Daphnia pulex: one gene and its partner. The protein of the gene in region 2 interacts with the protein of the main gene of each other region in a pairwise test. Links are inferred from orthologs where the notes say so. Each region holds a gene or a part of one and is shown on either strand. Other genes may lie near its edges.

Evidence for each region. The genes of interacting proteins can lie anywhere in the genome.
Region 1: the proteins of COP9 signalosome complex subunit 6-like (region 2) and thymidine kinase, cytosolic-like interact in a two-hybrid assay, tested with the Homo sapiens proteins (2 studies listed by BioGRID and IntAct). The link is inferred for Daphnia pulex from reciprocal best matches to the Homo sapiens genes COPS6 and TK1.

What each region holds. Positions count from the first base shown.
Region 1 is NC_060026.1:15,980,593-15,984,584, reverse strand, and holds the start of thymidine kinase, cytosolic-like, read left to right. Parts: upstream 1-1,184; 5' UTR 1,185-1,285; coding exon 1,286-1,339; intron 1,340-1,520; exon of another isoform or gene 1,521-1,647; coding exon of another isoform or gene 1,648-2,114; intron 2,115-2,178; coding exon of another isoform or gene 2,179-2,263; intron 2,264-2,322; coding exon of another isoform or gene 2,323-3,519; exon of another isoform or gene 3,520-3,667; intron 3,668-3,730; coding exon 3,731-3,826; intron 3,827-3,886; coding exon 3,887-3,992. Other genes in the region: longitudinals lacking protein, isoforms H/M/V-like, read left to right, coding at 1-280, 343-544, 607-725, 787-876; ankyrin repeat domain-containing protein 27-like, read right to left, coding at 1,648-2,114, 2,179-2,263, 2,323-3,519. UniProt on the Homo sapiens protein: Cell-cycle-regulated enzyme of importance in nucleotide metabolism. Catalyzes the first enzymatic step in the salvage pathway converting thymidine into thymidine monophosphate.
Region 2 is NC_060019.1:12,303,760-12,307,025, forward strand, and holds COP9 signalosome complex subunit 6-like, read left to right. Parts: upstream 1-1,411; 5' UTR 1,412-1,499; coding exon 1,500-1,653; intron 1,654-1,713; coding exon 1,714-1,842; intron 1,843-1,902; coding exon 1,903-2,217; intron 2,218-2,283; coding exon 2,284-2,477; intron 2,478-2,544; coding exon 2,545-2,688; 3' UTR 2,689-2,763; downstream 2,764-3,266. Other genes in the region: probable transcriptional regulatory protein FMG_0893, read right to left, coding at 282-508, 570-706, 778-1,024, 1,094-1,106, 1,178-1,324. UniProt on the Homo sapiens protein: Component of the COP9 signalosome complex (CSN), a complex involved in various cellular and developmental processes.

The DNA of each region.
Region 1 (3,992 bases), on a different chromosome or scaffold from region 2:
TGAAAGTCTAGGAGTTAATGGCCTAGCACAAGCGACCCAAGAAAAGAATACCAACGGCGATGCAACAACATCGATGAGGGAAGTGTCTTCATCACCGACCAATCTTCCGTCAGAGCTTCAAAAGTCGCACAACGATCGTGTGAAATCGTCATCCAGAAAACGACTTCGGATTCGACGTAGTATAGAGCCGGAAAACCATGATTCCGGCAGTCCTTATTCAGACCACAGTCAAACTTCGTCCACCAACTTCTCACCTCGCATTGAAAAAGTCGTTTCCATGGTATTTTTGTTTGAATTTAACCTCCGAGCTGAATGCGTTTGAATAAATTTTAATTTGTTCAGGAAACCCCAAGAAAAACGACACCCGTTAACAACGATTCTACTCCGATTCCACCCAATTTCACCAATAAGATTACATCACCAAATTTCGTGGCGTCGTTTGAACCGATTCTGCTGGAATGCGATCCTGTCCTCCAAGATTCGCCAACATTTTCCAACATTGAATGTGATCCGCACCCTCAAGTCAAACAAGAGCAATGCATATGTAATGTTAACTATTTTCTTCTTCATTAATGGAACTGAAATTGTTAATATAATTTCATTTAGGTGATTTCTTCCGAGGATTTATCGTTTATAAATTCAACGACTACATCGCCCAATGCCATGGAAATCGACAACAATACTGGGAAGAACCCTTCACGCAAGCTGTCTTGAAAGGAATACAGGTAATTATAAATTGCACCTTATTAACCATCCAACTCACATTAATTTTTTTACACTTGACAGGATCGCGAACTGGACATGAGGAAAGGAGCTCAGCTTTTGGGTGTGTCATACAGCACACTTTACGGACGATACCGATATATTCAAACTTAATAAGTGAAATACGATTGCTTAATTTGGTTTTCTCGGCTTGGTGATAAAAATAAAGTCAAATTTCTGGCATCTACTTCTCCGTTTGTCGGTTATTGTAGCACACAGAACCTCTAGCCTACTTTGGTTTTAGATTATTTTGTTATTACAACACTATAAACAACCTATACTAATTTATGTAATTTTTTAAAAAGAATTTCAAGTCTTCTATAAGACTATAATTATAAAATACCCCAATATTTATTTTTGTTAGAAATTTTGTTCGTTTTTAAGGTTTAAATACGTTTACTATCGACAACGCTGTTCTGGATTATTATCTAATTGGGCGGGAGAATTCCACGCTGAAGGAAAAATTTCGTAGTGTCGTTGAAAACCACAGATCTGTTAACTACCATTTTATTCAAGCCTAAAAATGTCTGTTTCGTACGGAAATTGCCAACTGAACCACCCAAAAGGACAAATCCAGGTAGAATCCCTCTGTTATTCTTGCATTTACAGTCTATGGAGTGAATTTAAAGTTTCGTGACATGCAATCACATTTTTGTCAACTTTCCACACTATATAAGTTCGAACAAAGATTTACGAAAACCTTGTTTACTTGAAATAGTGTAAAGAAAACATGTTATAAAGCTAAAACTAGCATTCAATTCTGTGGGTAAAGAATATGTTTATTTCGTAGGTTCTGAGGGTAAATCAACATAAAATTAATTTAAAATCGGCATAAGGCAAACATTTAATTATTTGAGAATAACACTATGTTAAAATAAAATATGTTTAGGAATCACTCATTGGATTTAGTGGTATGGGTTTTCGTTTCAGGGAAAGTTGACGAGTGAGGCCAGTCCAGAATCTGCCACTGCCAAATCCTTCCTTAAAGTTTTTCCCTCCAAGCTCACAGAATTTTGATATCATCCTCGAAATTTTGAGGTTTTGTGACACATCGGAAGCCGTTTGCTTGTGCTTGTTGAAAATTCTGCAGTCCACTTCCCATTGCAGCAAAAGTTGAACAATATTGGTGTAACCCCATCTGGCTGCCAAGTGCAATGCTGTGTCCCCGTTTCCATTCATGGCGTCGTAATTAAGTCGAAAATGAGCTTGCTCCGAATAGTATAAAAGGGCCTTGACGCACGGTTCGTGTCCGTTTAAAACCGCCAAATGAAGGGCCGTATTCCCTTGAAGATCTCGACAATTTAAATCACAACCGGACTGGTGGCACAACAACAGTAAACACGTTTGGAAACCTACCAAGAAAAATGATTTAATGTTTAATTTATGCACAAAACTGTTTTTCCTAATATTTTATACCTCTAAAAGCGGCCCAGTGCAAGGCTGTACGTCCTACAGGATCAGGAATTTGAACTTTATCGCGAAAGGATGTTCTCAGTAGAACCTATGAACGATTTTAATCATTCAAACTCTATATTCTGTTAATTATTTCAACCGTTTTACCTGGGTAGCGTCGCTGTGACCGTAATACGTTGCATAGTGGAGAGCTGTCCATCCCCTGGAATCGGTTCCTATTGCGTCGACTACTCTTGGCAATCCGCAGGAATGGCACGAACACAATGGGTGGCACTCGAATTTGGAACTGAACAGGAGCTCTGTTAGCGCTTCCGCATCGCCAAAAGCCGATGCTCTGAATAACGGTGTGTCAGGGACATCTTTGGGTAATGTTTGATTGAAACTGCCCAGTTTCAGGTGATCTATCGCCGCTTCTAATGTTGAGATGAGGTAGCCATCTTCACCTAATAGACTTGATGTGTGAAAGAATTTGATGAACTCCAGTTGGGCTGCCCAATTGGTCACTTGAGATTTCAGAATGAGGTAGCTCAATAGTGCCAGTAAATTGTCAGCATTCAGGTCAGCTGGAACATCTGTTTTGGTTAGAAAATTGACTGTTTTTCGTAGACAATCCAACTTGTCAGTCACCAACTTTTTGTCCGATAACTTTTCCAGTTCTGCAAGTGCCATGGTAATACTTGATGAGAACTCCTCGGGGAGTTCAAGATCTTGAAGTGTAATGTCACAGTTGTTCCTCCTGATTTTGTTGAGGTTCGCATCAATTTTGTTGGCCTCAATTGTGACGAGATCCATCAACTGGCTGTAGAGATTGTGAATAACACAGCTTGAGATTCTTCTGTCGAGGCTTGAAAAGTAGTTTTTAACTTCATCTAGGCATTGTTTCAATTTTTCTGGTGAGACGAAATCTTGATCTGATTTCATGTAGTTGGCCAAAGTGATCTTGACTGTTCTTACAGAGTCTCGAATAGATTTTTTCTGAAGAATGGTGGGGCTTTTGATGTTCTTGGCATTTGGATCATCTCTGACGATACAGAGAGCCCTTACTTTTCCCAATTTTGTGTAGATTGTTTCCTGGAACAGGATGCGAACTGAAGTCGATCCAAATTTCAGCCTGTCGTCACTTATTTGAACTGGCTCATTGGTCAGTGTCCTGGATTCTCCTCCATGTTGCATGATCAAGTGCTTGCGAACATAGAACTCGTCGAACTGATCTTGACAGACACTGTTTGCCGATGGAATGCAAAGGATCCATTGATTCTTGACAGCTTCTTCGTACAAAACTGTACAATTCTCCTGGAAAAACTTCAAAAAGGGATTACTTGAAAGATCTTCGTCGTACTCCATAATTTGGATAAAACTTTAAAATGATCCTTTCCTAACGTTGGAAAGGTCCAGAATGGCAATTTTCTGTGTCAGCTACTATCTTTAAATGACTCACTTCCGACCCGTTTCCGACGTTGTTATTTTTATTTCTTTGTTTACTGACAGTTTGTATTGCCAAAATTTCACCGGTGCGCCTAGTTATTAAAATCCCCCCTACTTTTTGTCTACGCAGATTATCTTTGGGCCCATGTTTTCGGGCAAAACAACCGAATTAATTCGCCGTTTGAAACGCTATGAAGTGGCCAATCACAAATGTTTGATCGTCAAGGTAATTTTTGATTATTTTATTTATTTTACAACTTAATTTTAATACTAATGATGATTTCAGTATGCCAAAGACTTGCGGTATGAATCGAAATGCGGCCAGGGGGTGGCTACTCACGATCATCAACATCGGGCGGCCGTTGCGGCCACCGTCCTGTCATCCATCGCAC
Region 2 (3,266 bases):
TCATGTACCGCGGATACTTTTATGAACTGTAATAAACTGACGATTAACGGAATGATTCGTGCTTAACTTATTCTTTTGATATCCCAGTTTGTCTTGAACGATTCTTTCATTAATAAGGTTCAAGTTTCCTCTGCATTAATTGACATAATTTCTTGAAGCGGGTACGCGGCGTTTGGGTGGATGTAATAAATGAAAAGTAATTCGGACGCATACTCAATTGCACTTTGCATTAATTTATTCAAACCGCAAAATATAAGAATTTACAATATGTATTAAATATCTCATTCAATGTTATCATGAATTTTAACAACATCGGGCTCTTCTTCCAACTTACTATAGAGCTTAGAAACTAATGCTAAGTCTTCTTCGGATTCAATCTGAACTCTATTTCGTGGGATATAGAGCAAGTCAGATTCTATTATGCAATAGCCAAGCTGACTAACAGATCTCTTGACATTCAAAAAATCCCTTGGGCTGCATGTGAAGACAAACTTGCCATCTTCATCAGCTAGAAATTACCACAGAATTTCGGATAATTGCATAATGTATATATTTCACTTGAATGATACCTGTTACATCTTCCGCCCCGACGTTAATAGCATCGTCAAGTACTTGCTCAATAGTTTGGCCAATAGATAATGGTGACACCTTGATTAATCCTTGATGGTTAAACAGATTGTTTGAAACTCCTTCTGCCCATGATGCACTGACAAGAAAGGATTATTATTACTTATAAGTCAATTCATACACTACATTTACCAGTAATTTTAAACTTACTTGAATTTCCTGTTGATTGTATTGATGCCTTGTCTTGCTTTCAAATAACTAGGAGTGAGAACTTCTACCACGAAAAAGGTTCCCACTGGTCCTCTTACTTCCATAACATAAGGTTTTAAATCCTCAGTAGACTGATCAGCATTCTTTAGAATATGTTTCAACTTTTCAGAGGGCACATTATGATGCCTTGCTTGATCTACAAGATGACTAAGTTTTATATTTTGTTTTGGATCTGCCGAGCCATGTTCTGCAACAAAGAATTGTATGTTAATGCTAAACTTTGTTTCAACCAAAAATTAATACTCAGTATACAAACCTTTAATAGCTGCCTGATTGTTGTGATTGAAATTCAAGAAAATGTTATAGTTACACTAATAATGAGAACACAAATTCAAAATACCCTAATTTGACGAAAAATTCTTAGATGTAAAGTTGCTCTTTCAGCATCCTTTGCACCCTTCACATGTTTGATGTTGGCCCATTTACTATGCCCAGCCATGTTTCTTGAGAGCGGAATCAAAATACCCAAACGAATCTTTTGAAACATGATAAATTATTGTTAATATTTTTTGAATTATTATAAAAAGAAAACAAAATGCAGTTCCGGTAAATATCTTTTCGTCTGCTGTTTTAGTCTCGCTACAACGTCGACTGCTACGCTTTCAACTTCTTCTTTTCAAACGCAGATCACTTCCTGATATTCGATTTTCTTGAATAAAACAATGGAGACTGAAGAGAATAATCAGAATGTTAACCATGTAATGGCTTCATCGGGGGCGACAGGAAGTATATCAGTTTTATTGCATCCCTTGGTTGTGATGAATATATCTGAACATTGGACTCGAGTGAGAGCCCAGGAAGGGAAAGCACAGCAAGGTAATGTTTATGTGATGTACATTTTAACTCTTTATTTATTTTGTATACACAATTTCATAGTGATTGGTGCACTCATTGGAAAGCAGAAAGGAAGAAGCCTAGAAATCATGAATTCCTTTGAACTGGTTTTCACTGTTATTGAGAATGTGGTAATTGACCGAGATTACTACAACACAAAAGAGGAGCAATGTATGAAATTTCCCATTCTTTACTTATTAAATGTTCTTCATAATTTCTTTTTATCTTTAGTCAAGCAAGTGTTTAGTGATATGGATTTCCTTGGCTGGTATACCACTGGAGATGCTCCCAATGAATCTGACATTCATGTCCACAAACAAATATGTGAGATTAACGAAAGTCCTGTAATTTTGAAGCTTAATCCTTTTACACGAAATGCTGACCTCCCTGTAACAATGTATGAATCTGTAATTGATCTTGTCAATGGAGAGGCAACTATGCTCTTTGTTGAATTGACTTATACTTTGGCCACAGAAGAGGCAGAAAGAATTGGAGTTGATCATGTTGCTAGAATGGCTTCTGGTGATTCAGCTGAAAGTTCTCAAGGTAATTTTAATTCATTAACATTATCCTTATGAAACTGTCATGGACATACTTTTCTTTTTTAAACAGTGGCGGAACAATTGCAAGCCCAACACAACGCAGTAAAAATGCTTGCCAACCGAGTGCGATTGATATTAGAATACATTCGAGCCATGGAGAGAGGAGAGGTTCCAAAGTCTCACGAAGTCTTACGCGAAGCTAAATCTCTGACCCACAGGTTACCTGTCCTCAACTCTGAAATTTTCCAGGAGGAATATTACACCGTAATTATATCTTAACTCTTTGTTAATTGGGTTGATTTTTCTAATCTTGTTTTCTTTTGTCTTGTAGCAATACAATGATGTCTTGCTGCAAACCTATTTGGCATCCATTACCAAAGCATGTCACGACCTTCACCAGTTTGTCACCAAATTCAACATACTTTGCGACCGTCAAGGCATAATGGGTCGCCGAATGCGTGGTCTCTTTTTCTGAATTGTGAGCATTGTATAACATATTTAAGGAAACATGCTTTGTGCCCTACCTAATACATATTGGTTTTGATCAAGATTCCCATTTCAGCTACATTTCCATCCAAGGTGTGTATTGAAAATGTCAGCTTAATCATGGCAGTGTAATATCAAGTCCATATGGATTATTTTTCTTAAGTTTATTGGCCTCGTAATTTAAGGCGTCCTTTGTTAATACAGAGTGTTAGTATGAGATTAGCAGTCTGTTGGATTTGACAAATCCGGCAAATCCGATACACTGGAGATTAGCTTACATCGAAACTATGGGTCCTAGCCAAGATGTTGGTTATTTAAAGATTTACTCGACTTAACAATATCGTTCGTTGTTTGGCAGTTTTTTTGTAATTTTTAAAATTATTTAATGAATTCGTGATCCAATATAACTTAAATTAATTGTAGTTGAGCTCACAGAAAAAAGGAAATTTTGGCATCTAAAATTATTTGATTCAGATTCCAATCTTTTTTTCCAATTCATTTTGACAACACTGGAAAAATGTGTTATAATATTATGCCAAAATGTGTAGGTACAGATTTACAACGCCG